Linked DNA regions of Oryzias latipes. The protein of the gene in region 2 purifies or fractionates together with the protein of the main gene of each other region. This does not show direct contact. Links are inferred from orthologs where the notes say so. Each region holds a gene or a part of one and is shown on either strand. Other genes may lie near its edges. The genes, in order: map2k7, mapk8ip1, map3k7 and akt1.

Evidence for each region.
Region 1: the proteins of mapk8ip1 (region 2) and map2k7 purify together in Homo sapiens (affinity purification with western blotting; 3 studies listed by BioGRID and IntAct, with this or other methods). This does not show direct contact. The link is inferred for Oryzias latipes from reciprocal best matches to the Homo sapiens genes MAPK8IP1 and MAP2K7.
Region 3: the proteins of mapk8ip1 (region 2) and map3k7 purify together in Homo sapiens (pull-down; 3 studies listed by BioGRID and IntAct, with this or other methods). This does not show direct contact. The link is inferred for Oryzias latipes from reciprocal best matches to the Homo sapiens genes MAPK8IP1 and MAP3K7.
Region 4: the proteins of mapk8ip1 (region 2) and akt1 purify together in Homo sapiens (affinity purification with western blotting; 3 studies listed by BioGRID). This does not show direct contact. The link is inferred for Oryzias latipes from reciprocal best matches to the Homo sapiens genes MAPK8IP1 and AKT1.

What each region holds. Positions count from the first base shown.
Region 1 is NC_019859.2:2,776,044-2,784,056, reverse strand, and holds the start of map2k7 (dual specificity mitogen-activated protein kinase kinase 7), read right to left. Parts: upstream 4,575-8,013; 5' UTR 4,530-4,574; coding exon 4,406-4,529; intron 2,722-4,405; coding exon 2,674-2,721; intron 1-2,673. Other genes in the region: pkn1 (serine/threonine-protein kinase N1), read right to left, coding at 7,566-7,769. UniProt on the Homo sapiens protein: Dual specificity protein kinase which acts as an essential component of the MAP kinase signal transduction pathway. Essential component of the stress-activated protein kinase/c-Jun N-terminal kinase (SAP/JNK) signaling pathway.
Region 2 is NC_019861.2:7,594,654-7,602,766, forward strand, and holds the start of mapk8ip1 (C-Jun-amino-terminal kinase-interacting protein 1), read right to left. Parts: upstream 5,347-8,113; 5' UTR 5,262-5,346; coding exon 5,185-5,261; intron 1-5,184. UniProt on the Homo sapiens protein: The JNK-interacting protein (JIP) group of scaffold proteins selectively mediates JNK signaling by aggregating specific components of the MAPK cascade to form a functional JNK signaling module. Required for JNK activation in response to excitotoxic stress.
Region 3 is NC_019882.2:20,579,187-20,586,529, forward strand, and holds part of map3k7 (mitogen-activated protein kinase kinase kinase 7), read right to left. Parts: coding exon 7,283-7,343; intron 5,859-7,282; coding exon 5,734-5,858; intron 5,117-5,733; coding exon 4,988-5,116; intron 4,903-4,987; coding exon 4,772-4,902; intron 4,424-4,771; coding exon 4,342-4,423; intron 3,722-4,341; coding exon 3,600-3,721; intron 3,522-3,599; coding exon 3,380-3,521; intron 3,156-3,379; coding exon 3,075-3,155; intron 1,551-3,074; coding exon 1,480-1,550; intron 1,370-1,479; coding exon 1,279-1,369; intron 599-1,278; coding exon 537-598; intron 458-536; coding exon 342-457; intron 1-341. UniProt on the Homo sapiens protein: Serine/threonine kinase which acts as an essential component of the MAP kinase signal transduction pathway. Plays an important role in the cascades of cellular responses evoked by changes in the environment.
Region 4 is NC_019880.2:14,665,365-14,673,382, forward strand, and holds the start of akt1 (RAC-alpha serine/threonine-protein kinase), read left to right. Parts: upstream 1-2,858; 5' UTR 2,859-3,111; intron 3,112-7,462; 5' UTR 7,463-7,600; coding exon 7,601-7,646; intron 7,647-8,018. UniProt on the Homo sapiens protein: AKT1 is one of 3 closely related serine/threonine-protein kinases (AKT1, AKT2 and AKT3) called the AKT kinase, and which regulate many processes including metabolism, proliferation, cell survival, growth and angiogenesis.

The DNA.
Region 1 (8,013 bases), on a different chromosome or scaffold from region 2:
AAAGAAAGCGGACTGCAGGTGGAGGTACGCTCCCCACACCCAGCAGCTCGTTCAGTGCTTTGAGGACCAGTCAGGACTTACAGCCCTCACGTCTGAGTCTTTGGTTTCAACACGCTTTGTTCCTTAAAAAATAAAAACATTTCCCTACAAATAACCAGCTAAACATTTGTGATTAAGATGAACCATAACTCTCATCAAATCGGCGAGCCGACTGATCGATTTGTTGTCCCTCTCCTTCTGTTGAGCTAAAGTCCATGTAGCATAAAGGAGCCTGAACCTCTTTAGGTATGTAGAATTAAAGGGCATAAGTGTTTTCTAAACCAGTGGTCCCCAAACCCCGGGCCGCGGACCGGTACCAGTCTGTGGGACAGTGGGTGGCGGGCTGCAAAGGAAAAAAGGACGACCTACGTGGAAGTTTTATTTTGGAAAACTCCTGAATCCTCTCCACCATTTCCGACTCGTTCCTGACGCACGCCGAGTCGCTCGGACACGCGTCGAAAATCCATTTGACACCTTCATAAAGCGGCTGCTACGAGCGCTAAACTGAAACCCCCGGGCTGGGAGAGTCAACACAACATAAATATAATAGGAAAGTTTCTTGTGGCTGAAATAATCCAGCGAGGAAACAGAAAGAAAGCTGTATCGACCAGACAAAAGCCAGGAGGCTTTACTCCAAATATGAATTAATTCTGACAGTTGTTTCCACAGACCATAATAATAATAATGCAGAATACTCAGCACCTGGCAGCTAATGTTGCGATGCTGCTGCTGCTAATAAAGTTGTTCAGTCGATTCAAGTTTATTATTAGATTTAGAAAATACCAGCTGTAGTGACCCTTTTTCCCCTAAAAGTCGGACGAGGCTGAAGTTGGCGTCTGATTTTTAGCTTCAACTTTGAAGAGAAAATCTTCTTCACATTTTAATGGTTCCTACAGGAAATCTAGTGAACGATTAAGTTTAAAGCAGCTGCAGAAATTTAACAGAGGACGAAGACAAACTTTACCCTCAAAAGTTAAGAAACGGAAGGCCCATTTCAGCCTCATATAGGCCCGGCCGTGAAATGTTTGTCTGACATTAACACTGGTCTGTGGCCTGAAAAAGGTTGGGGACCACTGCTATAGATCTTCTAGAGTCCTAAAGAGGCTGCAAACGCTACACCTAAAGATGGCTCCAGCACCGCTGGACGACGGCACAACTCCGCCCAGAACAGCTACTCTGACCTTTGCTTTCAGCTAAATTACCTAAAAAACTACTGTTTTAGCCAAACGTATCTTCTTTTTTTATCTCGTTTGAATTTTTTGGTACGTCCACATCGAAGAAGCAAAAGCCTTCTGCCGTGTAAGGACTTCCTATCCCGTTAAAGCCATGCAGGCAGGCTGAGCTTCTTAAAATACACATTAAGCCTCAACGGGAAGTCATCTACAGTTCATCGATCAATGGTTACCCCCATAGCAGCCACACAAACACAAATAATGATCATGTCCAGTGGAATCTGTGTTTACACCCTTCAGTGACGCGGTCTCACTGCATACTAGAGGTATGACTAGACTAAATGTCTGCTAGCAGTCACTTCCTGCTGCTCAGAGTTTTTCTGCACGAGTGAGATAGGGCTCTGCCAGGAGCACCAGTGTTTGGGTCCAGGAGCGGCCCGGACGGGTCGGCCTGTTCGGGGAAAATGGTTGGTGAAAGGAAGCGGGGGGGGTTAGTGTGACGGGCAGACGCCAGCGGCCGTCGGCACAGATTTTCATCTCCAAAGTTCTGACAGCCTCTAAACAGATGGGAGGAGGAACGGACGGACCAACACAGATGCTAGCAGGCCCGCCTCCTGCTCACACAGCGCCACTGCAAAAAAGGGGAGGAGCCAGGAGATGAGGGGGGAAAAAAAACATCAAAACAGTCCAAAGTGAGAGAGATACGGTAGATAAAAAAAAACTGCATAGCAAGACGTAGCTGTAAGTCAGAAACACTGAACCAGGAAGGAAAACATTCAGCTGTGCCGTTAGGAAAACAGACGAGAAAGGGAAACCAGGCGGAGGTTTCCCCGCTCCTGCAGACAGAACGGTGGGGATGCTGGATTAGAGACGCTCAAACAAAAACAACCCATTCCACGACGCCGTGCAAAAAAACAAAACAAAGCCACATGCACAAGAAGGGGGTTCTCTGCCTCCAGCAGAACAAATGTTAATGGTCCTCCACGTGTGCTGAAGCACACAAACACATCAATGCGAACCAACACTGCCCTGCCACTGGCACAGACGCACAGAAGGGTGAGAAAGTGGAGGATGAAGAACTGCAGGGTTGAAATGTCAGCGGTGGAAAAGTACTGGATGCATGAGTTTGTGCAACCTTTTGATGAGCTGTGACATGTTGGGGGGAAATATTTTCTGATAAAGTGGAGAAAAGTTTTTTTTTTTATCTGACAAATTAACAATAAAAAGGTTTTATCCCATCCCATCGTTCTAAACACAGTAAAATAGAAGAAATAAAAGCACATAAAAATGTCAAGAAGAAGTAAATATTTAGTCAGGAGCTTTAAAGCTCCTGGCTGAGCTGAATGTTTCTCTGGATGTTTGAAATGAGATGGAGAGGAAGTGATGGAGAGGAGGAGAGCGGAGCAGAGAACGGAGGGCTGGAAGGTGGTGGGGAGCAGTGGCAGAGGTGAATGAATGATACCTGCACGCTGGGAGGGGGCTGGAGCAGGACTGAGCTGGATCACGATGACTAGACAGAGGAAAGAAAATATACATACACACACGCACATTACAGGAAACAGCAAACACTTCCACATTTCATCATGTTCTCATGAAAATAAAACACACTTCAGCTTTTCGCTTTTTTTCTTTTTTGCAAAACAATGAGAAGACACGGGCACAAAACCTTCATGGGCACAACACTACCAATGTTTCTGATCCCAATTAGAAAGAAATAGAATTAAAAAAGGAAATTAAATATTAACACGAAGAGCCAAGCAACTCCATAAGACAAAACAAAAAGTCCAGGTTATCCCACAGAGCCACAGTAGTGACAGATCATGCCATTTTAACGTAAATAATGTCAAATGAAAGTATATTGTGCAACTTTTTCCACTGTTGGCCAAAACCAAAACATCTCAACTGGAGCTTCGCTCCAAGGCCTTTTCAGAATTCACCCCCCCTGCCGGGTGGTGCACTATTTAGGCCATTTTTTCAGAGGAATTTACCAGAGGTCTGTGCGAAAAACCACTATGCATCGAGGCTCACTAGCATGGAGAAAAAGGATGAGAAATGTATGAACAAAACTTTGAAACATAAATAACAACGACTGACGATCAGTACTAAAATCAGCAAATATGTCCGAAGAACACGTTCAGATGTCCTTCATTCTTCAGAAGAAAATTTTCAAATAAATTCTGTTTCTGTGTCACAACAGAGTGAAAAACTTAAGGTTGAGGTTTATTATTCTCAAACTTATTTACAGAATTTTAAAGGTTTAGATCTTAAGATAGAACCCCTACAAAAACAAATGAAGTCAAAGGGAGTTCTTTAAAAAAATAGAAGCTGGAGATAACCCTTCTTTTTATTTATAGTAGTAGGTTTAGGGGCTGTCATCTGGACTTAGTTTTTAAAGTTGGAAGACGTTTCACCTCTTATTATCCAAGAGGCTTCCCATTTTTGTCAATAATTATTTTTCTTGAGCGGAAACAACTGACTGTTTTGACTGATAGTATGTACGAAGTGAAGATTATTATCATTTTCTTCTTGTCTTTAGTTTTGATAATCGTCTGCTATTTGTGCTTTAATTATTTTAATATAAAAAGACTAAAGGAAAAACAAAGTACGGCAGCTTTACGTGTAACCGTTCAGCTGCGAGTAAATCAAACTTGACGTCTGTTTGACGCAGCTAGCTTATCGAATTAGCCTGCTTAGGAACACATAAAATGGCATCGAAAACAAGCTTTTTAGAAATAAAAACTAGTATAAAAGGACGTTTTTTAAGAACAATGAAACTACGGCATGAGTGGCATTTCTGCACATTCGCGTGAAAAGCTGTAAACAACGTTGAATACTTTACAGGCCTAGCGATGGATGCGGAGCTAGCCCGTTAGCTTAGCATGTTTGACAGGACAGAAACAAAACGGACTGCGGTACAAGGTTACCGCGGTTATACTTCACACCGCCGTCACCGACACTCCCAGTGAAGAACCCAAAACAGAAGCTGCCTTGATTGTTGAAGAAGCGCTTTGACGATAATAAATCATTATTCTTGTTCATGTTTGTTTACGTAGTTAGCATGATAGCATGTAGCTTTTAGCATGGAGTAGCATAACAGCCCTCATACACCCCACCCCACCCCACCCCTTCTCTCCGATCTTCCCCTCGCTGTTCTGGCCGTCACCGAACCCCAGTGACCCCCGCTGGACACTCACTTGGCCTCGGGCGTGATCGCTGCGGACTCATGTCGATGCTCAAGTCAATTCTCCGACGGGCCTCTTCGTTTTCCTGCTTTAGCTTCTCCTCGATCCTCGAGAGCCTCTGTTCCAGCGACGACATCTTGAAAAATTTAGCACCATGGAGTTCCCAGCAGACTCCAATCTCCGGCGGGCAGGGCGGGGCGGGGGGCGGGGCCAGCGACGTACAAATGAGACCAGCGAACCTACACACGCTGCAGCCTCCGCGCACGTGCAGCACTCCGCGCGGCACTATTCTTGCTCTGTACTCTTTTCTCGTTTTCTACCCAGTTTTAGAGATTTTCTGTCTGTTAGCCAACGGAAAAAGTTTTTCTAATTGTGGAGTTTTCACTGTTTGTGCATAGACATTATTCAAGGATTCTTTTTTTGTTCCAAAGAAATAAAAAAATGTAAATATAATAAAAATGTTGATAATAATACACCTTCCTGACAACACAATTTCAGGTAAAGGGATGGCTTACGACCTTTATGTGAAGCATAAAAACAGCCAAATTTGACTGGGAATCAGGAGCACATGGAAGTTGGAAAAGGGCAGCAAAAGCTCAGATTTTGTCCTTTAATCAAAACTGAAACTAAGTCAAATTTTAAAATAAACTACCAATAGATTTAAGAATTCTGCTACTGTGGGTGAAAGTGAAACAATTGTCATTTCTGTTATGTAAACAAATTATTGTCAACATGAGTTTGTTCACTTTATCACAGACTTGGAAGACGTCAAAACAATAAAACACTGGAGGCTCTTTCTGTTGGCACATTGTGCTGCAGACATAATAATCATGAATCAAGTTTAATCCAGATGGTAATATTTTAAAATCAGATTTTCAACAACTTCTATCGCCAGAATGCTGAAACTATTTACAATACTTAGTGTTATCAAAAACTGTTGCTGGGAGGATTCTGCAGTTATTATTCATATTCTGTCACATATCAGAACATCAGGAGATTTTCTAATAGAAATGTATTCACGTTAGTACAAAAAAAGAAAAAACAGGGAATTTCTTTATTACGTGGCAAAAGGGGCCCCCCCCCCCCGCGTTCCTGTGGGTGCACACGCCTGCATTTTCTCTAGTGGTTTTTCACTTTTATCAATAAATTTAGAGTCATTTTGCCACACAAATGACAAACTCATTTTATTTTTTATACTAAGACAGAATAAAAAATACTAGACTGTCATATAATTACAGTATAAAGTATTCATTACCAGGCAAATGATAAAAATACAATCTTTTAAGCTCAAATCTACGTTTAAAAAAGTTGAACTCAATTATTTTGTAATTTAATGAATAAAAAATTAAAAAGGAAAGTCATAATAGGAATGATATTTATGATCTTACACACGAGAACATGCAAACGTCCCTCATTGGTGATTCTGTTTCAGGCCACCCAGCCGGGATTTGAACCAACGCCTTCTTGCTGAGAAATAAAGAGCCTTTTGTCCTTAAAGTAAAGCTGTATTTATACACGTTTCCCTCAGATTTAATTTCTATTTTAAGTACTACAACAGTCCAACTATCAATATTTCTAGATATTTTAGAAAATTACTAGAATCCCACATTAAGATGAATTTGTCTTTAAACTTTCACGTGATGAATATTTATTTACTGTCCTGCTCCTGATAAATGCAGTTTTGCTGTTTTTGGAGTCGAGTTTCCTCTAACTGAGCCAGATTCTTCCTCATAATAACCACTCACCATCAAAAATTAAGCTTTGGCTTACAAATATGAAAATTTTAAAAGATATTTAAGATTTCATCAGCTACTGGTAAAGTTGGTCTTATATCAAGTAAAGTATTTTAAACTACAAAAGTACTCTGAGATTATATTTTTGCACAAAGAACTGCATTTTTAAATGAAATTAATATTTATTTGAAATTTTAATGTATAAACAATCCTGGTAGAATTATTGATATGAACTTTTTGAACCTTTAGGTGGATTTTCATGGCAGAACATTTGAAGATTAGATGTTAAAGAAACTAGAAAAGTGATTTAGAGTTTTAACTGTTTAACTTCTACACTGCAAAAGCAGAATCTTAAGAAAATAAAAAAAATCTCTTAATGTCTGTGTTAAAGGAAAAATGATTATATCAAGAAAGTTTTTCAAAAGCAAAATCATCTTAGTTTGAGAAAACACGTCTTAGTGACTAGAATTTTTTTCTTAAACTAAATCTTTTTTCTGAACCTATTCATTTATTTTTTGTTAATTTAAAAAGAAAACCTCCCAGAATGTTGGGCTAACTTCTAGTCTTTATTTTACAGTCCTTTTTCTTAAAATTACTCCAAACTGTTTGCTTAATTCACATTTCATCACTTCTATTTCCCATAATAATAAACACTCAGAGGCAAAAAGAAAAAGACCAGAAAAGTCACGGTAGAATTTCTTTATAAAAGAAGTCAGCTCATACATTAAACGCTTTTGCATCGTCGTACACCAGATAAGTAAAACCGGCTCCCTCACTAGAAAACCTAATCCTGTTTCCGACGTTTCTCATTCTTTTCGTCTCATGATTCACACGTAAAACTCTGCTGTGCGCTCCGACTTTCTGCAGAAATACAGCTGAGGTTTGTTTGGCTTTCGCCTTTCCGGATCGCCGCCGGGAACCGGAACCCGGGTTCTGCCGACGCAGACCCGACAGGAAAACGGCGTCTCAGACTCGCCGACTTTAGTGTTGGGTGCAGACTTCTGCTGAGCTCATTTCTCCTCATTTAATGAAAAAAAAACCTAATTTAAAACACAAACCCCCTTTTTTGCACGCCGCTGTCGTAAAATCCAAGCAGCACAAGTGTATAAAACAGTTTGTGGAGTGGTTTTAACCCCTCCCCCCCCACACACAGTTACATCATTCACTTCATCATTTTGATATAGCTTTAAATAAAAGGCTGCCCTCTGTGTGCCCCCCCCCCTTTTACCCCCCCTGCTGCAGACGGAGGGACACAGAACGAAAAGGAATAAATACGGGTAAAAACGTAAGGCATTGGTATGAGAGGCCACTGAGAGAAATGACCTCTGCCAGGCGCACAGGTGACCCCGCCCCCCAGACACACACGGACGCCGCCTTCATTCACAGTGTAGGTTTACAGGCGGCGGACGCCGGGCGACCAGGAGAGGCCGTCGGGTCACCTAACAGAGGTCAGAGACGTAGTCGAAGTCCCGGAAGCAGTCCTGGTCTTTGCGCGTGAGCGAGCGGGCCTCGCGCGGCGGCGTGAGCGTCGGCGGCTCGGTGGTGAACTCTTCGTCGAAGTTGCTCACGTCTTCTTTGCCGCGGATGGAGGGAACAAAAGGAGGGGGCACCTTCCTCTGCAGCAGCGCCTCCCAGTCCACGCTCTGGAGGAAGAGGAGGTGGCGCTGCATTAGCTCCCAAAGTCCAGGTTACTTTCCATGAAATCTTTATTTTTTACAATGAGTCTAGATCAGTGTTTTTCAACCTCTTTTGAGCCACGGCACACTCTAACCTTGACAAAAATCCCGCGGCAGACCAGCATCCAAAAAAAAAGGAAAAACTCAGTTTGTATTGATCTACAGTCCCTCCACAGTCTCACGTGCATTTTTATGATAATTGTGGCAGAAA
Region 2 (8,113 bases):
AAAACAACTGAAGCAAAAACAAAAAGAAGGATTGAAAAGAAATGGTTGTGTGCAATGCTGGTTTAAATAATGCAGAGTAGAATCTTTGTAGTATTACACTAACATCTGCTGTTAGCATGTGTTACAACCTAAAAATAACTGCCCAGTGAACTATTCCTTATGGCTACAAATGAATGAATAAACACTGTCTCTATAAGTATGTACTGGAATGTGGGATAAAAAAACAAACTGTTTTGTTTGCACATTTTTGATGTTATGTGTGTTTCTCGGAGTCTGCAGCAAACATTTTTTTCAGCAGAATTTGGATACAAATCATTAATACAAATCCCTCAGATTTATATATTGTATTAATAATAGGTAATGTAAGAAAAAAATAATCACAGTTTAAAGACTTGTTTGATTATCAATTGGATGCCAAATTTGCCCTTTTGTCAACAGATGAATTGTCATTAAGCCTTCTTTAAGCAACTAGAATGGGCCTCGGCAGCGTGTCTTTGTTTGGCCCACAAAAAATTAAACAAACATCTGAACTTTTGCAAAGATGGATGTGCAGATTGTGCGTAAAATGGAAGCATTTTAGCTGATCACCACTAACTCCGTGTAGAAAGGGAGTGTGTGTGTGTTGGCCGGGGGGCGTTGCTGGCAGCACAGACTCTTCCTAGAAGGAGCTGTTGTTTACTTATACACATCACAATGTGAGAACAAACTGGTTTTCATGGATTGGGAGAAGCTGTTGTTCAGAGCGCAGGTTTTTAGAGGAATACTCAGAAATGTGTGAACGGATCAGTGTACCGCTTTGGGGTTGTTTTTCGTGAGGAATGAACATTATAACACTTACACATAAAAGCTCAAAAAGTGATTTTGCATGATATAGACCAGGGGTCACCACCCCTTGTGGCGCCCGCAGGGAATGCACCAAAAAAAACATTTTCTTTTTTTTTTAATTGAAGCAAATATTGAACAAACAATCACGGCACGTCTGTCAATGACAACAATATCAATTCTGAGATAAAGGTAGACAAAAAAAATATGAAAACAAATTAACTTAAAAAATAATCAATAAAAATAAGGGTATATTACAAATGTTTAAATAGATCAAATAAATCACAATGTCTGGGCATTCTTATGATTCATGTAATGTAAAGATTTAGAGAATAGGCTGATATGGTTGAGTAATCCATTAATGTGAGGTTTCACCTTTAAGAATTTACAAGTATGAATAAAATGCTTTGAAATGACAATCAGTACATTAATCAGAAAGTCCAGATTTTTGTCAATTAATTGTAATCGAATTTAAATTGTATTCCAATTTAAAGGGTTAATGATGATATTTTTGGATTTGAGCCAATTATGAAAAGAAGACCATAACTCTTTTACATGAAACATTCAAAGAAAAGATGTTCCACAGTTTCTACATCATTTCCACAAAAGACACAAAGATCATTATCCCAGTTAAAGCGAGAATGTAAAAAAATGATTGGAAAGTTAAATATAATTTAATGGGAATGCTCCAAAAATAGCACTGCTCATATGCAGTAGCAAATCAATATAATGTGGGGATCTGGGGGTTAGCTTTTAAGACTCATGGGAAGTGGGGAATCTTAGTTGTGTTAAATTGCTCACCATAAGTGAGGGAGCTGTGAGCAGAAGTAAAGTTAATGCTGTTTGGCTGGTGGTGGTTGTGTTCAAAATAAACGGACAGATATGATTGTCCGCTAATTTATGTGAGTGTCCTTCCCAACAAACCGGGGTTGTGCTTTGCATTGGGCACAGGTAGCAGATTGGGACATGTCCAGTGTGGTTGCTACTAAGAAAGAGGATAGTGAATTAAGACTCGGGCGTAACAGTTCTTGCCTGGATAGTAGAGGATGGTGATTCAGTGCTTGCTATTAGTAATTAATGCACTTTAGTTCTGCTATCGTGAAAAATATGGCAGAGTATTGAACGACCTGAAACTTGTGAATTGGCGCTCCCACTGCCCATGTGTTTTGGATTTAGGCCCCCTATGCAACTGAGTTTGACCCCCACGTAATACGAGTCTAGAAAATTCATGCATGTTTTTGTGTGTAAAATGAGCAAATAAAAATAGGGCATGCAAAAATGTGTGTGTGTGGGGGGGCTAGGAGGTTTTTAGCAAACAGGTCCTGTGGCGCCCTTCATACCACTTAATGCCCATTAAATAGCCCTCAGTCTCAAAAAGGTTGGTGACCCCTGATATAGACCCTTTAGCAAAGTTAGCTTGAATCACATCAATTAATTTCCTAAATTTTCAATTAAAAAAATACTATTGTCATTAAAACTGTCTTCATATGCCTACTAACTGAAATGAAAAAATTAGAACTTTTGTTTATTAAATAATAAAATATTATCTGACAGAAAAGTTGTGGGAATTTATTTTACATTAAAATTTCTACAAATTTTGATATGAGAAAAAATGTGAAAACATTTGGAATTGTTGTAATATAAAGAAAATTATTTTTCATCCTACAACTAGATTTTTTAAAAACCTATAAAACAAATAGCTCAAACAGACTGATATAGTAGTTTTCTGATCTCCTATAGTCTGAAATTATTGGTCTGATATGTGGTATGTTGAATTTCTGGCATCAGTCCACTGAAATTTCTAAGCATTTGTTTTCATTTTTATGAGAATGTGGTTTTCTAAGTTAAGGTTCTGATTTTGAAGCGCTGGTGGAAAAAACACAATATTGTCTTGAACTTAACATTATGTGATATAGTAAGGAGTCTAAAGCTAATTTAAATACACGTCTATCACCTTTACAGATTGTAATTAGCTGAATACAAATTTTCAGACAATAATGGTATTAACTGCAATAACTCTTCAGTTAGTTGCAAAACAACTTTCCACAAATATGTATATATTTAAATTGTTTGCATCAATTCTTACTCGTTTGTGTCTAAATCGTGATGCATTTAAAGAAGGACCAGTTTTAGTCCAAGTTGTTTGTGCTGCTGTGCTTCAGTCAGCAAATAGCCAACAATCACACATCTGCTCTGCATTTCTAAACATCTACAATTTCTCTTGTTGTCCTGAGAGGATTGTTCCAAAAGTCTTTGCTCAGAATAAACCTAACTTTAACTGTGCTTTTTTTTTAAAAAAGCTTCGCCTTCTCAAAACCATGACCTGATTGTAAGTAAGGTGTTCCCTTGTTTATCGGGTCCCCCACGCAATAAATGTATCCACATTCTATGGGTTTAATCCGCAAAGTAGGTTTACTGATGTTTTAAGGCTGTAAATTTCTCAATACACACTTTATAGACTTTCTCAGACAAATATTAACATTTTCACACTTTTCTCTCTTATGTAAACTCTGAAAGTTCAAACCTCAATAGAAAAAAAAAATACTGAAAGAAAACACAGATCTGGTCAGTATCAAAGATTTTTCTAACTATGGCAAGTTTATTACGCTCTGTGCAGCAGATTCCCTTTGCCAGATAGAGTCCCAGTATCCCCAGCCCAAAAGTCAAACCGCCAAACCATCCAAACCGGAGTATAGGTTTTCCAGAAATGATTTCTTTGAGTGTGCCTTTTGAATGTTGTTGTAAAGACCAACATAAAAATGGAAAAGAAATCAAATTTCTATTAATGGATAAACATCTTGCAAATACAAAGTAGAAACTTGTGAACAGTTTCTAATTCTTTCCAACATTTTTAAAAAAGGTCTCTTGGTGTGCTATTTATTACACAACCTCATCATTTCATAATTCATTGTCATTTATTTTTCCTCTTTTTAGACTCCAAGATTCCTGAGATTTGCAACGTTCTAACATTTTGCACAAAGCCTCCTCCAAGTGTAGCCAACATGCACTAGTTAAAAGAAGAAAAATAAGAAGAAGCCCCTCCCTGCTTGTCCAGTGTGAACACTATGGAATAAAACATTCATTCATTCATCTTCTTTACCGTTTATTCCCTTTCGGGGTCACGGGGTTGCCGGAGCCTATCCCGGCCACTTGGGCGTAGGCAAGGGATACCCTGGACTGGTCGCCAGTCTGTCGCAGGGTGGAATATCCTCAATCACACATCCATTCACTCTCACACTCAGACCTGTGGACAATTTAGAGTTGCCAATCAACCTATGTAGCATGTTTTTGGAAGGTGGGAGGAAGCCGGAGATCCCGGAGAAAACCCACGCATGCACGGGGAGAACATGCAAACTCCACACAGAAAGGTCGACCATTGATGTTGTGTTTTTCATGTCCCCCAGCCGGGACTTGAACCGGGGGCCTTCTTGCTGTGAGGCAAGAGCGCTAACCACTGCGCCACCGTGGAATAAAACACACATTCATAAACAGCAATTGGCGCGATTTGGAATGCACTTCAAATGCCAGGTCTGTACGTATAGCTTAGTAGGACAAGGAATGGCTGTACACTGGGTGTGCCTTTGTTTTCATCTCTCATTGGGGAATATGGATTAGATCTGTGATCATTCGTCTTGTAATCCAACACTGCAACACTTGCATTTGGTTTACTCTTAAATGCTAAGATGAACTGTGTGATCTCCTGTCTGATGCAAGCTTGGGTTGGAGCTCCCACATCCACCTTCTCTGCATTCTTTTTATGTTTAAAGTGCTTTTGATTTGGTAAAGCCAACATGATGAAGTCATTAGATAAGAATCATGCAAAAAACAGACCCTCAAACAAATCAGCTTCATAATGATGGAGATTTACATCACTTCTAGCTCCCAGGTAGCTCTGAAATACATCAAACTACTTCTGTTTATTTAAATGAATTGGGCTTGTTTAAAACGCTGGAAAAATTCACAGATTAGATTTATGAATTTGTCAAAATATGAGTGTGGGGTGATACGAGAATGGACGCAAATGATGCACAATAACAAGATGTGACGTGTGATTAAAAAAAAAAAAGCTACTGATTCACGGGCCTGCAAGGATTAAGGGAGCTGAAGCAGATAAGAAAAAGTACGTGTTGCGACATTCGCCCTGTGAAGGCTGAACGCTGCCCCCACCGGCTCTGTCCCCCGAGAGCAGACACGCCCAAACACTGAACCATCTACTTTGGTTGTCAGAGCCCGGCATCATCAGCTCCACTCATTCCGCTTCAGCAGCCCTCAGGATGGCTGTTCTTCAAACAGCCGTCCCCCCAGCGCCCACGGACGGACGTGGAGCTCGTCCATCCTCCGCTGGCTCGCTCGTTCGCTCACCTGCGGCTAGCAGAAGGCTTCACCTGGACGCTGCGGCCGGAAGCAGGGGCTCTTTTCTTCTTCTCTCTGTCCGCCATGCCGGCGAGTTGTCATGTCTCTACAGACTCTGCTTCAAGCACAAACACCTGAAAGGTGCAGCGACGCCGTGATAGAGTGATGCATTCAGAGACTGTGGGATAAATCGCTACTGCGCTGGTGTGTTTAGGAATACACGTTTTTTTCCCCTTCTTCTTTTTTTTTTGTTTTTATTTTAAACTAGGCAATCCAGTTATTTTGTTAACTTAATGTATTATATTTATTAGACCAATTAATAGATAATAATTATAACAATACCTTATTTAATAATAATATTATTTTAAAAAAAGTCAGAAATGAATAATAATAAATTATTATTAATCATTACTATTTTTATAAATGTGCCATCGTTAGCTGCAACACTTATTTACAACTGTTGTCCCAGGGCAAGGTGTAGGTATACCAACAACAAATACCAAAAACATATAAATCTGACAGTAAAACTTCAAGTTAGAAAGTCAAATAGAGCAGAAAAAATATCTGCAATTAAGCCATATTGTTGAATGTTGAATTTTTCACATAGGACGGTTAAACATATATATATATATATATATATATATATATATATATATATATATATATATATATATATATATATAAAAATGCTGCATGCCTTGGATTTTTTAAAAGTCTGTCTGTCACAAATTAAGTATATAGACTGCCAAATCCCTTATTTGCCCTTACTGTTTCTTCATTCATGAATAAGTAATAATTAATTAATAATTTTGAAAACTCTAGAAATGACTGAGTCACAAGTTCTTCAGGTCTTGTTTTATTCTCTTTCATACCTTTGTTTTAGGGCCCAGTGGAGGAAAAGCCTAAAATAGGTCAGGCTTGTAGCAAAAACATAAACATTCAATAAATAAAGGTAGACAGGACAAAACTATAAACTAAGGGAGAAACAAAAGGCTAACAGAAGATCTGACAATGAATTACTAAAAGCAAGACAATTAATCCTTGTGCTATCTTAGATGACGCCACCCTTACATTGACGTGTTATTCCTACCATGAGAAAGGTGGAAAGATTTCATGCAATCCATGGACACCAGTGATGATCACAAATCATTCAAGAAAAATGGTTAAGCGCACTGTCTAGTGCAGGGGTACTTTTGAATCGACAATGTCTTGAAGATCTACCTATAAAATATGTATGTATGTATGTATATATATATATATATATATATATATATATATATATATATATATATATATATATATATATATATATATATATATATATATATATATATAAAATACTATTAGTAATTGTTTGTAAGTTATGTTTATTAGTTACATGTTTATTTGAACATTGTTGTTTATATACTGATGATTAAGAACTACACAGTAAGATTACACAAAGATACTTTTGTATTAACAGATTAGGCGTTTTATTACAAAGACAGAAAGCAGCGGCTATCATTTGTCATGCTCTGTTAACCGTGCAATGGGGGGAGCATGGCATTTCAAAGGCGCTGCTAGCTCCGTACGAAGCGCATGCCACGTAAAAAACAGCTTCCTTAATGAGCTCGTATTTATCGGGCGAGAACTGCAGAGCTGATAGCAGGAAGAGACATGCGGGGCGGCTTCAATAAACACTCCGGTTGTCCGGAGTGGTCTTCTGCCGGGGACTTGACGTGCCGTGGGGCAGAAAGCGACTTTCTGATGACAGCGAGTTTGCGCTCAGTGTTTTTAAACAAGCATATGCAGTGACGTATGTATCAGAGGATGTCCGATTGGCCAATCTACATGTCAATCAAGTCCTGTACTTCTCAGTGAGGATTTTGAATGGCTGGTGGATTTTTAAGAAGTACTTTTTATTTTATTTTTTTTATATTTTCTGGCACGCGATCTACACTCATGTCCTTGAAGTTCAACCGGTCGATCGCGATCGACGTAATGAGCACCCCTGGTCTAGTGGGTCTAGATGACCCAACCTCCAATGTTAAAGTGCCTAGGATAGCACACACGGTTAAAAAAACTGAGGGTGATTCACTAAATAAAAACAGGTGTAGACAATAACAACTAGAATCTGTTGTGACTGACAGTGGAAAAAATGCTAAACCTGAAAACAGAATATGACAAGAACCGAGAAAACACGTAAACACCAATCTGTGAAAAAACCCCGACACATTTTAAATTGGGAAACAGCTCCTCTACAACAACAAAGGACGATATTGTGTGCCAACTTCTAATATTATATTGTGCTTTGTTTTATCTTCTGCTAAATCCAGGTCTTCAATTCATCTGACATAGGTCACAAAATTAACCACTACTACAGACTGTTACTCTACAACTGTAAAGACAAATGCGAAGGAAAGCATTTGCTCTATGAGGCAGTGATTAGAATATCTAAAAAATATCTGTATACTTTGTTCCAGACTCATTGTTTAATTTTGAGTTTATTTTAAATAAAACTGTCAGCACACTTTCTGAAAATGGACTGTAAAGAAATGTTGTTAGTTTTCCAGACATGCCACAAACTTTATAATAAGACTCAGGAGTCAAAAACAAAATCATTTAATGTTTTACTCCAGCAAAGAGCAAGCAGATAATAATAATAATGGTAATGGTTACATTCAATGTGCATACTAAAGGTTCATTCGAAAATTACACACAGTTATACTGTTTTGCACAGACACAGGAATTAGCTTTTTCCGCACAACTGCATGCCTGTGGCCTTCGGTTCCCAGGGAGATGAAGTCAGAGACAGAGCCCGGTCATCCATGTCTTTATGGACCTTGCTGTGAGCTCTGGTTCACAGTCATGTTGGAAGAGGAAGGGTCCAAACTGTTCTCTTAAGGTTGGGAGCATGGAATTGTCCAAAATATTTTAGTATTCTGGATCATTCAGGGTT
Region 3 (7,343 bases), on a different chromosome or scaffold from region 2:
AAACAGCACATTGTAATTTCTGCATCTATTATTAAAGTATTTATTAGTAATACAGTGGAAATTAGTAGATTTGGTTAGAATGTTGATTTACGGTATGCGCCCCTAAATTTTCTGGTTGTGCCCCTAAAATTTTCAGTTAGGGGCCACTGTGCTCCTGGTGAAAAAAGTTAGTCTGGAGCCCTGGGATTGCATTTTTTAAATTCTCTTTTATCAACATTGTCATTCTTTTGGACAGTTCTACTTCCAGTTTCTGCATCCGTGTTTTTAGTAAATATGTCTTTGGGATGGATTCGACTTGTTGTGTGGCGTCATGTCAGGATTGGGGTCAGGCCCACACTCACTTCCTCTGGATCAGCAGGGCGATCTCGGTTTGAACCTTCAGGTACTCCTGAGCCATCTTGCAGTGCTGCTCAAACACGGCCATGGACTCTTTAGAGTTGGGACACGGTGCCAGGGGCTGAAAACACACAACGGAGCGCCTCAGCTACAAATGTGCATCTTACTTCAGAGCAGAGGTTTAGATGAGAGTCACGTACCTGCAGCTGATGATCCAAAGTGAGATAGGCCATGGGAATGGAGTTGTCTGAGCCGTTAGTGTCTGAGAACAGAGCGGGACAACTTTCAGCACCTTGGATTCTGGTGAGATCTCACCCAGGTCAAAGGTCAAACCACTGGGAAAACAACACAGCTCAAAAAATGCATCCGTCTTCAGGACCCACTGAATCCCTTTGGCAAGTTAGATTCACCAAGTAAACAATGAAGCATGTTTTTGGACTGGAAGAATGCAGAAGGCCTAGAGAAAACCCACCCATGAATGTGGACAACATGCAAACTCTACACAAAAAGGTCCCAGCTGGGATTTGAACCAAGGCCTTCATGCTGTGAGACGGGAGTGCTAACACACACCCCTGTGCACAGAAATAGGCACTTTGTCATACCACCACTAGGTGGCGCACGCTTGACCCCATTTGTTTGAAATTCAAACCTACTAACATCTTGCTTTCTGATCTGTGGGAGGATTAAGACGATCTGTCAACATTTAACACACAAACCTCTGACATGGGGCGTGGTCACGTGGACATTTTACCCGCGTAAAAGGTCTGCTCCAAATGTTTGAATCCAGCTAATATTCTCAATTTGGACAACGATGGTATCCAATGACGACCACTAAGTCGACACAAATCCCCGGGTCACATGACCGCACGCCTTGTCCTGTTAGCCTGGATGGAGTCTGGTATCTGCAGACGGGCCGGAGTGCTGCAGGATGCGTTGATTTACCTGTGGGGTCATCCGGGGAGAAGTAGCCTCTGCTGGGTTTGTCGGCCGGCATCATCCTGGGACTGGACGAGCGGCTGCTGTTCCTGCTTCCCTGTAGGATGGAAGCGCGAGAGCTGAGGCTTCAAACTGAGCATGACAGCATTTCTGATCCTTTCATTAAGAACGTGTGAAATAAAAAACCTCTTCTGTGCCAAACTTTACCTGACTGGACTCGGCGTTGACGATAGCTGGAAGGTCCTGCACAGAACGACGCCTCTGAGCCTCACACGTAGCTGTAGGGGGGGAAGGGGGGGTAACATGAGGACAGACGGGTGAGACCACTTCAGAAATCCAGTCCTACAAATGCCTCTTAAGGAATAAAACATTCAGATTTGTGGGGAATAAGCTGCACGTCCATCAGCAGCACAGCAACCTTCTCCGTCTGATGCTGCCGAGCGCCGAGTCACCCGTTTAAGGTCAGAGGTCACATCATCCCGAGAAGAACGGCTTCCATGGACAATCAGCATCAATGAAAGCCCTTCAGGCAGTAAATCAGCTGCACAGCACTCACTGCAGACCCACAGAGCTCCAGACTCCCTCTGACATGACGGAGCAGAAGATTGAAGAACCAGCTGAAGCAGAAAACAGACTTTTTCACGTTTCCTCTTCTTCATCTGGCCTTTTTCATCCATCATCACTGCATCCGTCTTTGCTCCCTTCTCCTTTTTTACCTCATCAATGCAGAAAACATCCCCCTCTGCAGACCAAAATTGGTTTCATTTGAATGTTTTGGAATCAACAGCATATAGTGACACAAAGTGACACATATGCGATCTATGATACTCCGCTTTGGGGGCAATCTTTAGCATTTTAAGCTATGAGAGGCCAGAATGGGAATAAATGAGTCTGGAGCTCCGGATCTCCAGGTTCAAGTCTTCTACAATCACACACACCATGAAGACAAACAAAACACAGAACTGTGACGTACACAATACTTGTGTTTGACGCACCCGTACCCACCCGTCCTCCCAGTGGAAGACGATCCAAAGCAACAGTAAGGCGGATAAATCTGCAGATTTTTGTGTCCGAGTGAGGATTTCTGGTTTGATCAGACTGAATGTTTGAGTTGGGTCAGGGTCTCTTCTGCTTCAGCGTCTCATGAAGCCGTTAAAAGCTTTCTGCCCGCTTCTCCACATCAAACCGAATAAAGTTCTATCTCAGCAACTAAAGAGATGAAATGTGTTTGAAATCAATGGCTGTGACTGGAGGACATTTTTCAGCCTCATAGTCTGTCACACTGGAGACATCGTCTACATTTGATCATCTGGCTTTTCTTTCAATTTTCCTAAAAATAAAAGTTGATCTAGGAAGAAACTTCATGCAAAAGAACTCAATCTGAGTGACAGTGTGGGCTTTTCTCCTCCATGTAGGTCTGCTGTAAAGTGAACCAGAAGGAAGGAAGGAAGGAAATCCTCTACGCTGGAAGATGAGGACAAACACAAAGCTCAGGAGTGAGGAACTGATTTTCTCCAGGATGACAGAAAGCAGCCACGAGTGAGAGCAGTCATCTTCATCAGCATCTGAGGAAGATGAGCTGAGCACTGATGGGGAGCTTAAGTTCTGCTTCTGCCAGATTAAAGCCAGAGGAAACACAAAGCAGGACTCTGCTGCATGCTACTCCATGAGGAGCACAGACAGAGGGAATGCTGGGTAGAAACTTAGCACCACATGGAGCGACGCACAGCAGAGCTACAACCACCACAGCAACCCAAAAAGGCTCCACCCGATCACCAGGAGGCCCACTGGTCCACAGGTACCTGTGACGACGATCTTGGGGACGTCCAGAATGGTTCCGTGGGACGCCGTTTTACGGTGGCCTCGCCTAAACTGTGTGGCTGCTGCAAAAACACACACACACGTACAGCTGCCAGCATGCAGACGGACGGGCGGGGTCGCCGCAGACATGCAGAGCGCAGACACATGCAGCCTGTGCGACACAAAAGCAGCCCCCCTGCTTCTGCGCTGGTTAGATCCAAGGGTCAGGGTGGGGCACAGGAGGCTACAACAACAACCTGAATCCAGAGCAGCACATGGGGGTCACGCTCCCCCTCTGTATTCATACCTGCAGGGGCAAACGCCGCCTTGGGCTCCAGCTCTGACAGATCTGCACTCATCCTCTTGCCGTCACCCAAGCAGAGAGTTCGAGCGGGCAGACTCTCCACGCTGCCCCCCCTGGACAACGGCAAAGACCTCAGAGGATCTACCTGCAGGAAAAGAGGAGAAGCCTCACTTGTCTGACGACCCCCCCTGATCAGGGTTCAAGGACAGGAAGGGAGCAGCACCTTTGGTTTGAAGGCCGGGAACTGAGGCGTGATTTTGATGGTGTCGTTGCTCCCCTGAGAGTCGCTGTGCTCCATGTTGGCGTCACTTTTGTTGCTGGTGTTGGTGTAGTCCAAATATGAAACTGGACAAACAGCAGACAGGGGGGGGTTCCTTCACATCAGAGCCCTCAACTCAGAAAATACTGTAGCAAAGACAGTCAGAAGCTCTGCAGTTCTCCAGGATCCCTCAAAAGACTTCAGTCCTCAAAACCAGGAAGTTAGAAACAGTCTGGAAAGCTTTTTCTAAGAATGAACTTTTTCTTCGCACAACAGAAGAGACCACTTTGAAAAAAACAACAGAATGGTAAATGTTCGGTTTGGTTTTCTAAATGCAGAGATCTCAGAAGGGTTTGCTGTAAATTTCCCAACATTCATTTGTTTTGAATGGACCTTTATTTTTGAAAGACATTTGAAATGATTTATTAATGGATTTTAATTTTTATGTAGCTCTGCAGCAAAAAACAAAACTAGAGTTATGAGCCGTTGTCTAAAGCTGTATCGTTTAGAGTTGCTTATAATTAAAAACAAAAGATTTACTCAAAAGCAAACAAAACAATATTAGATTATGGATTTGAATTGGATCAAATTAAATCATTTTCTAATCTGAGCCCTAAACACTGAATCTAGAGCTCAAAACCGTTTGTTCTGTGTTTGTTCTCGGCACTCCTCAGGGCTCTGCACGTGGACCTGCTTTGCTTGGTACCTGTGCTTGTTGCAGAGTTGATCTGTCCGTCATCGGAGTACAGGTACGGGTACTGCAGAGGAACGTCCGATTCTGGGAAATACTACAATAAATTTAAAAAGAAACAATCGGGTTAAAAGCCTGCAACAAAACTGGACGTTTCATGAGTCATCGTTTCAGATTTGACAACAAAGGTTCATTTCTTGAATTTGAGTTGAGCTGAAAAGAGTAAAAGCTCTGAACACATTTAACCCTTAAAGTAAAAATTTAAAAAAACCTAAAAGTTTTTTTAAAGGTCTGAAAATGTTATTAATGTGTCAGTTTATGACTGAAAAGGGAAAAACTAAAAGAAAAAAATGATGGATTAATGACTGAACCTCAGGTCCTGTCAGCTTCTTTTGTTTCCAAACACAACATCAGTAAAAAACTCCTTTATTTACAGATGGATCACCTTCATTAGATGACTCATGATCTTCACGATCTCCTCCATGGAGGGCCGCTGAGAGGGGTCTTTGGACCAGCAGCGAGTCATCAGGCTCTCTATGGGCTTGGGGAGGTTTTTAATTAACGGAGGTCTGGTCCCTGAATGGAGAAGAGACGTTGAAAATGGCGGCACGTCTTTCATCTGCTCTCCTGGTGGACTTGGCGAGGCCTCTGAAAGACTCACCGTTGTGCACCGCCCACATGATCCGGAAAGCCGGTCCTCCGATCTCGTCGAAGGGTTTTCTGCGGGTGATGACTTCCCAGAGGATGATGCCCCAGCTGAAGACGTCGCACTTCTCGCTGTAATTGCTGCCTGTGAGCGCAGAGGAAACGCCGCTGCTGAGAGGGGAGCTTTGATTTCATCTCTCCTTCAGAGGGAAGGGGGGGCAATATTTGCCTAGGAACAGCCCCTGTGTTGCTTCATTAGCGAGTATCTTATTGCAAAATGAAGGAGCAGATCAGAAAAGATCCTTCAAAGCGGCTGCACTGGGAGCTCCCATGCAAATTAGCAGCTCAGAGTTCACAGAGAGGGCAGCAGCGAGCGGCTTAATTGCACTGGAGGCTTGTAACTTGCCTCCCAAAACAAGATAATGACTAAGCACTAATTCATCTTCCCTCCTTCCCTCCTCTGCAGGAACGCAGCTCCTCGTTTAGCCAGACATTAGGCTCCTGGCTGAATTAGAACACAAAGTGTTGTTTCCTTGGGGAAATAAAGGGACCAGCATTAATCCATTCATCTTCTCGCCACGCTCGGTAGACTACCATCAATAAAGAAAAAGAGCGCCGCAGCTGGTGAGGAGTCGCTGATTAATGCGCCTCCGCTGAGACATTAGGACGCAATTAAGGTGAAGGGTGACAAAGCAAAGTCAGGTGCGAGAACGAGGAAAGAACTGAGGGCGGCCCGGGAGAATCCACCCCTCCCACACTTGCCTTCAAACACCTCCGGAGCCATCCACGCCGCGCTGCCTTTGTTGTTGGTCATGTGGGTCTGAATGTCACACGCGGTTCCAAAGTCACAGATCTTCAGCACGGTGCCTCCAGCCACCAGGAGCAGACTGCAAGCAGGGACCAACAGAGGCTGTGAGGAAGACGGCGGAACACGTGCTAACAGATGATAAATGCTCATCTGCAGAACCGTTGTGATAACTGAGGAAAAATGTTCGTCTGAGCAGAAGGTTCTACATCGTCAGCGTGAAATGAGCCAATGCTTCCAGAGGAACATCGTTTCATGCACACGTTGTGGTGGCCGAAACCAAAAAATGCAACAACTCTTGCACGAAAAGAAGAAGAAGTAGTGTTGTAAAGCTTAAGTTACAAAAATCAAAGGCCAACAACGACTGAGTATCAGTCACTCCTCCTAAAAAGATTGCAATGGATTATCAAAGACGGGATCACTGGGATTATCTGAATCAGCAGTGGTGACTCTGGATTAGAAACACTGGCTTTCTAATCATTTTTAAAGGTCCACCAACATTCAGCCTAGGTAATTTATTTGTAGTACCAAGTTTATTCAGAAGTAGTACTTTTATACTCTACAGCAGGGCTGGATGGTGTGACGATACTTTGTCTAGTCAATAGAAAATATTGATCACTTAGATGACTGTCTGACACTTACGACACAGGTGCTTAACAGAAATATTTTAGAAGACTCCTGATGACAGCAGACGTGTTTCGGACCAGAAGAAATGACCCGTCTAACCCAACGAGGACCTACCTAAAAAAAGGGTCAAATTCTGTTGCCATTATAAGGCCCATGCCTTTGTTTGATCCCTATCTGAGGTAAAAAAAAAAAAAAGCCCCCCTGCACCCCACCCCACCCATGAGGAGCACTATGCCAGACACATGTCAATGAGTTGATGTCATCGTCTGGACCAACAAGTGAAATTTTCTTCTTTTTAGAATAAAAATTAGAATAAATATTCTAATAGTGGTGTGTTTACATTTTTATGTCCCCTGTACAATTAAAGGAAAACAAAACCAGATTTTCTAGAGGGGGTGCACATTGCAGAAAAACAAACCCCTTTTAATACTGATTCAAAGTGACTTGCAGAGACCAAATTCTCAACATTTTCTTATTAAATATTGCTCGGTCAGCCGTAGTCTGAAGAGAACAATAAAAGAAAACGGACAACTACTGGCATTTTTGGCATCATCTCACTGAGAGTAAAGATATTCAACGTCTACAGCGGCTGTCTGATACAACACTCCTTACTTTGTGATCTGTGTTGGAATAATTAGGAATTTTTAAAACTCTTTTGATACTTGAAACCAATAAAATTCCAGCATTTTAAGGATAGGAAGCAGATAAACTGAAGTTTTATTCCAGTCGTAAAAATCTGTAAATTTTGGTGCTGAATTCTAGTGAAAGGTCATGATGAGGTGTAATGAGAAAACATACAAAACAGTGGAGTACAGTGAGGTACAGCAGGAGACGGGGGAGTGTGTGACGCGAGGAAGAGCAAGAGGAGGAGGAGCGTACTTTGGTGGCTTGAGGTCCCTGTGAATGAGAGCCTTTGGTTTCATGCCATGGAGATAGGCCA
Region 4 (8,018 bases), on a different chromosome or scaffold from region 2:
GCCCACAAAACAGGAGGTAGGGATGATGGTAGACTCTGTGGTGGATCCTGTGGTGTTGCATTTTCTGGAGAGCGCATCTGGCTTGACATTGCGGCTTCCAGGACTGTAGGTAATGGTAAAATTAAAACGATCGAAGAACAGGCACCAGTGGGCCTGACGGGAATTCAATCGTTTAGCACTTCGTAGATTAGCAAGATTTTTATGGTCTGTCCAAACTAAACGGTTGTTCTGCCCCCTCCAGCCAGTGACGGCATTCTTCTAGTGCGAGCTTTATAGCCAACAGTTCACGGTTCCCGACATCATAATTTTACTCAGCGGGGTTGAGTTTGCGGGAATAGAAGGCACATGGTTTGAGTTTTCCAGATGAACCCTCAGGTTGAGAGAGTACGGCCCCAACTCCGGAATCAGAGGAGTCGACCTCGACGTTGAATTGTTTCTGGACGTCAGGTTGAATGAGTATAGGGGCGGAGACAAAAAGTTCCTTGAGTTTAGTAAAGGCAGTGTCAGCTGCCGGAGTCCAAACGTATGGTCTATTGACAGAGGTGAGCTCAGTGAGGGGTGCTGCAATGCTGCTGTAATTACGAATAAATCGCCTATAGAAGTTGGCGAAGCCCAGGAACAGTTGTAATTTCTTTCGTGTCTCGGGGATCTCCCAAATGGTATGGGCTTCGATTTTGGCTGGGTCTAGTCGGATGTTACCAGCCTCAATAATATAACCCAAAAAGGGAACGGTGGAGACATGAAACTTACATTTTTCTGATTTAACAAATAATTGATTTTCTCATAACCTTTCCAAATGAGATGGACATGGTGTTTGTGTTGTGTTTGATTGGTAGAGTAGATGAGATTATCATCTAAGTAAACGAATACAAATCTTTTGAGGAAGTCACGGAGAACATTGTTTACAAGCCTTTGGAATACTGCGGGGGTGTTAGTGAGTCCGAAAGGCATGACGAGGTATTCGTAGTGGACCAAAGGTGTATTAAAGCCAGTTTTCCATTTGTCGCCTTCTCGGTTGCGAACCAGATGATAGGCATTATGGAGATCTAACTTGGAAAAAAATACGTGCCTCTTTGACTGAATCGAAAAAGGAATCAATGAGTGGAAGTGAATACTTGTCTTTTACTGTTATTTGGTTTAACTCACGATAGTCAATGCAGGGTCTTAAGAATTTGTCTTCTCCACGAAGAAGAAACCTGCACCGACCGGAGAGGATGTGGGACGGATGTGACCCAAGGAGAGAACTTGCTGGATATAATTCTCCATGGATATTTTTTCAGGACCTGACAGATTGAATAATTTTCCTTTAGGGAGGGGTGCGCCGTTAAGAAGTTCGATAGCGCAGTCATACGGCCTGTGGAGTGGCAAGGCGCTAGCTTTGGTCTTACAAAATACCGATTTAAGATCATGTTAGCAAGAAGGTACTTCAGACAAATCTATGTTTTCTTCAGAATCAGGTTTGGATGTAATGGTGGACGGAATAGCAGAATGAAGGCAATTAGTCATACAAAAGGTACTCCAGTTGGAAATGCGGAGAGTAAACCAGTCAATATGAGGGTTATGAAGTTGGAGCAAGGAGCACCCCAGAATTATAAGGGTCTGAGGAAATTGAGTAAAAAAAAAATCTATGATATTCTCTATGGTTACCGGAGGTGAGAATGAGAATAAGTTTGGAACGATTCGTGATCCGGGAAAGTTGTTGACCACCTAACCCGGCAGCGTTGGAGAGTCGAGTGGCCCGGTGGGTAACGTGAGTTGTTTAAGGAGATGCTGATCGATGAGGCTGTGTTCAGCGCCAGAGTCAATAAGAGCCCTATATTCGTGAATGAAAATTGGGGAGAGATTCTACAGGAACAAAAATAAATTTATTTTCTTTGGAGTTTTCAGAATTATCCCCCCGTGGCCAGTCATCTAACAGGGGGTACTGGAGTTTAAACGGATGGTGCATTGTGATACTAAGTGACCAGAGTTCCCACAATAAAAGCATAACCCCTCTTTTAGAATGATAATAATATTGAAAAAGTGTCAAAAAATGTATACTGTATGTAATAAAAGTAAATACTTATGTGTAGTGCATGAAAATAAGGGGCATAAATAAAATGTACCTTTTTTTATATATTTTACTGGAAAGATCAAGTTTTTTCCACACCAAGCCTTGCATATTTATCATTCTTGACATTTAAAGTCTTTACTGATTTATACGTATTTTAACAAAAAACACATTATTTGTTCCAACCAGCTTTATATTTGTTTAATCGTCCTATCCAACTGCTTTATATTTGCTATAAAAAATAAAAATAAAAAACAAACACACACACACACAAAATTGAGACAAAAACTTATTTATTTGGTGACATTCATGCATTTATTTTTGATTCACTTTTTCCAACGTGTGCTTTTTTCATGTTTATTCTGTGACAAAGACTCTCAGCATCTTCCTCTCAGCCTCCTTCCTCCTCATCCTATTTTCTTTTGACAATCATCCTTCAAATTCTGCACTTTCACTTCTGCCCTGGACCTGTTGTTTTCTCTGAGTGATCATACCAGCAAAGATTACAGCCACAGCAAATTAACAAAAATGAATCACCACTGACTTCCTACAGTAAATCAATCTTGAACAGAATCTCATGTTCCATGAAGTGAATCAAGTCATTCATTGCAGGAAGGACCCCTTCAAACATTAGCGGGACCTCTGGGGGTCCAAACACCCGCTTCACCACCAGATAGAACACAGAGGAGTTCATCAAGTGCATCCAGACCTCGCAGACCCGCTCCATTAAAAAAAAAAAAAATCATTTCTCCCAAACGGGACAGCAGAGATCCAACGGCTCGTCTTGTGGAGCTGATAAAAGACCAGCGCTAGGACCCGGGAGAGCCGGGCCGCCACAGAGGCATTGCAGACAGCGCGTTTGGGAGGTGTAGTGGAAGAAAGGCAAGAGAAACGGAGTAAATGAGAGACTTCTGTGCACATTGTTGAAGGACTTACCAACTCAAAATACCGCCGAAACGGCCCACTGTAATGAGACGGACACGCTGTTGAGTTCCCGCACAGGTAAACGGCCGCGTTTTCCGTCGCGTGGTTAAACTGCAAGAGGCCGACAGCCAGACAGGGTAGGTCCCCATTGTACTTACATGGGATGCGGTTATTCTCACCCAAGCTGCCCTGCTAGGCCCCATATCCTTTTTTTATCCATTGCGAAGTGAAAACCCCCGAAATGAGACACTTTTATGGCTCTTTTTTGTCGCCGTAGAATCGCCGCGTTCCAGTTTAGGGCTTATGAACTCGTTGTGGTTTTGCACCAACCGCAGAAAGACACTTTTTTCAGACGCTAATCATTCATTTTTCGTTTCTTTGTGAAGACTCACGGAAAATATTGACGTAATTGGGCCTTAAAGAAATAAAAGAATAAATAAAAAAAGTTGAGTCCAAACTAAATGCTCAATAATAGACAGAGCAGCTCATTCATTGTTATCTATTAGCACTTTGTTTACTGCTTCTTCTTCTTGAGCTCAGAAATGCTGCCACACATTTCAGCTTCAGCTATTAAAGGTTTGTTTCTATCACTGTCAACAAATCTTTGCTGGGAATTGTCACCCTGCACTCTTGAAAACGTGTCCTTTCAGTCATTTTATGTTTTTTGGCCTCTGGCTTTCGGACACCAGGGAGGTCTCAAGGAGAGGCCTCAACTGTTATTTTCATGTTTTCCTCTCCAGTAATCAGTTCAATGACATAATGCTTGTTTTTATGGTTTCTACTGCCCTCACTGTCATTATTCCACCTACAGCGATGACTGTTACTAAAAGCATCCCATTTAGCCAAAGGTAGTTTATTTTCTTTTCTTTTTTTTCCTCCCCAGCAGTCTTATAGATGTGGAGGTGCTGCACATGGGAACAGGACAGCCTTCATGGAAGTGTGAAATCATGTTTGACTTCCGTCTCTGGAAGTTTCCAGAACATTGTCCCCAGGCGGGCTGTTCTCTTGAGTGTCAAAGTTGTTTTGTTGGTCATGAGATTGCATTGCCTCAGTTTGTGTACACAAGGGGACGCGACATGTGACCCCCGGAGAGGACGCAACAAGCTGGCGTGGTGATGCAGCCAGTGACTGCTGGGCTCTCCCTGTTTTATTTAGAAAATACCAGCAGCCTCCCACCCAATGCCCTCGCAGCTTCATTGACGCAAATGTGCCACCGGTTGCATGCTGGATCAGAGGGTTGTTGCTTGAAACGTTTGGTTTCTGCAAAAGAGACTCCCAGATGGTCCAGGCTGTTGCGCAGGTGAGTCAGGTTGCCTTCAAATTGGCTTCTCCATCGTTTGATGGAAAAAACAAAAAAACAAAAACAATCACATCAGAGAAGAGCTCAAAGTTGAGCTCTGAGCTGCATCTGTACACTTCTGCACAGCCTGTCTGGACAGCCTGAAAGTGAAAACAGTTCTGGGAGTCATAAAGGGTTTGCTGTTCATGTCATCACAGGATTAAGCTTCTTGCTTGTCAAGATTGCTCCTACTGTGGTTTGGTATTTAGTAACAACTACTCCACTTAGCCTTAATATTATTATTATTGGTGATGTTATTTTTTTAAGGAACCTAAAAGAGGAACGCTGTACGGTGTAGTAGATCACACCAATGCCTGTTCCTATTGTGGCATTTAAAGCACACCAAGCATTGCCTCAATGTTTTCTTTTGCCAGGATCAGGGGAGAATGTTTGATCTCGTCTTTCTTGTAATGATTTCAAAAAAGAGTACTGTTCTACCTGTGTAACCACAAACCAGCTGCCAGGTTTTGCTTACTAAAACGGAAACAGAAAAATGAGGAAAACCAGATTTGAATCTATTGATTTGGAGTGAATTTGGTGGTGTCTTGATGACTGCTTGTTTTTTCTTTTTTGCTTCCTGCCTCTAACACATGGGACGGTTGTCTCTGTCCTCCCAGTCACAAGCAAACTATTTGACATCTTTTGCTTCATAGCACTGATTAGTATTGAAAGGGGTCCCCCCCCCCCCCCCCCCTCTCCCTGCAAAGGTTTAGATAGAAAAATGAATGATTGAAAGCGTCTCTGACATCAGGGCAGCCAGGCAGGCGGTGGCCCACCGGACTGCAGATCATGTGACCCGCTGTCAGGGTACTGGGTTCATTCAGTGGCTGCTGGCTGCAGCCCAGCTTTTCCACACAGCAGAGCCGCAGCAGCGACAGGTCGCTCCCGGTTTAAAAACAGCCAGATCTCTGTTGTGGCTCCAGAGTCAGACTTGTGTGCAGTGTCGCCATTTTGGTTTGTGCGACGGCTCCCGGTCTGTATGAAGGTATGAAAGCACGCATGCCGGTGTCACAGAGTCCGCCTTAAGATGCTGACGTGATCCCAACTGCTAGAGTGATTAACTGCGCTCTGTCTGTGTGCTTTTTACAAATCCACGTGCGCAGTGCTTCACACGGTGGCTGTGTGGGACAACACCAGCCACTGTGCAGTAAACACAAGCGGCGGCTTCAAGAGACTTCGAAGGTTTAGTCAATGATGGAAGTGAGAATGAAGCTGCAATAACAGACGCGCTCATCAGATATTAAATGACAGATGTTATCAAGCCCCGGGGCAGTTCTGATATGACTCGTAGGCTGTCGAGTCACATTCACTTCCTGTTGATGTCAAATAAGCTGGATGAGGTTAGCCAGGCAGATCTCTTTCGATGTGAGCAGGAAAAACAAAATTGATTCCCATCAATAGTCAGAAATTGCCTTGTGCAGGACATTACATTTGTGTGTGCAGTCATGGCAATTGAACCTTGTTGATGTCTCTTGCCTGATTCAATGGTGTCTTTATGAAATAAAGAAGGGGTAAAGGACCAAAAGGTCAAGTGTTTTGGAAGGGTTGGCCTTCAGCTCGTTCAAAGTGTGTTCTGTGGGTAACAGATAAGTGTGATGGAACTTAGCCTTTTGTGTCAGCTGACTGCAGTTTCACCATGTCTGTTAACACTCTTAGTTTTCCTTTAAGTGTCCTTCAGTCTGAATGCTGTACTCTGAACACAAAACCACTCTTATTCTCTGAATGGGATGCTTTTCGGTTCCTTATGAGTACTAATGACGACCGACTTTTATAGTAAATGTTTAGTTTTCAATTAGGTCATGTGATTCTTTGAAAGGTGATGGCATTCCAATGTGAATTTTGGTAAATCTGATCAACTGATCGTTGACCTGACTCCAGATTTTGAGGCCAACTTCTCTTGTTACATGGGATGAAATAAATCCATCAATTATTTAGCCGAAAATTATATGTCTTATTGATGCCATCTTGATGACACCATAATTCATAAATTGCCATGCTTACTGAATAATAGTAAATATCAGTTTGTAGAACAGATCTTGAGTTTTTTATTGCTGTTTTTAATGAAACTTTAACTGGTTTAAATGTAAAGACTTGGGTGAGCTTATGGCTCCTTGTTGTGATTTTATCTCACAAGATGATTTGGTATAAGACGGGACTGTGTTTAAAAATCAGTCTTCCTTTAATCTTTAATATCAATTCATCAAATAAATATAGCAAATTTCTTTTAAACTAGTTTCTTTGATAGTTTTTGAGGTTTAACAGCTCTTTTGGTGTAAAAATATACATTTTCAAAGGTATACTTTTGCCCACCCTACTTTTTTTAATACATATTCCAACAAAATTGGTTTTGGAATACAAATGACTAAAGATTATGTATTTGATCAGCTTAAATCCTGAATTTTTGAATAGAAATAAAATCATTTTTTGTGCATTGGTAGCGTTTGTATCAGAGAAAATGACAATAACGCAACAAAACAATGAGTCGGAGATGAAGGCTTATTACTTTGAAACTTCTTCTTTGACATCAGAAGCCAAAGTGATGTTATATGTAAGCATGACATTTAGTTTAGTGGCAGTTTTGTTCTTCCTGCTATTGTTTTGCTCTGCCATCTTAACGTTGTTAACATTTCCCATGTTTGAAGTTCCCATAGAGGGCTTCATAGTGATACGTTTAGCACAAGCGTTGGACACTTCCAACGAATGGAATTTATACATAAATTAAGTTCTTTCTTTTATCTCAAGCATCATGTAACCCAAAACAAATGAATTCTGTTGAGGCTGTTTGTAAAAATGTCCGAGAATGACTTCATTTCTGTTCAGGTCAGAGTTGAAAGGAAAACTTCTCGTCTGTCGGGAATGGCTGTGTTGGTGAACAACATGGAATTGTCCAAATAGAAAGACTTCATTCAGAGTGGCAAAAACCACGGCCTTGGATAGTTATTCAAACCTTGAGATGCAGCAGGTTTCGCATGTTTAGGGATCTCTGTTGCAGCCGTTGCATGTTCTCCTCTAATTGGGCCGTAAAGTGCAAGGAGTTTCGCGATTCCACCGCCTTCCCTCGATGATGTTGACCTGAGGGTTAATATTCAGACAAATGAAAAAAAAAATATTTTACTGCAAAGTGGGGCTAATTTTTACTTTTTCTTCAGCTAATAGGTTACCACCATTGAGAGGGCGGCTTTAAACCCTGGGACCCCATCTCCAGGCTCCTGCACAGGGCTGACTGAAGGCAGCAAGGTTGTGTCTGTCCCTGTGGGAAACCTGGATCCTCCATCCTGCCCACCAACATGACCAACGTGGTGATTGTCAAGGAGGGATGGCTGCATAAAAGAGGTAAATGCACAGCCTCACTCTAGGACCTAATTCTAGCCTCATCACCATTTTGTTATCTGTTTTTTACAAGGTCTTGATCATTTTTGAACTTAAGTAACTCATGAACTTAAGTATCTTTATGCACTTCAAAAACTTTGTCCCTTTGATCATATTGTCATGTTTCAGACATCCCAGCTGTTCAAACTTGCAGGTTGGCACGCAACAAAATATTTAAGGACCATGAAATATCTTTATCCCTCACAAAAATTTGCTAATCTCTTGCTGATACATGTTGTAGAATTGGGATTGCATTCTTTGGAATTTCATGTGTCCTTTATGTTGTAATTTTTTTTTTCTTCTGTAGAATGTCTTTAGCTAGTGATCTAGATGATA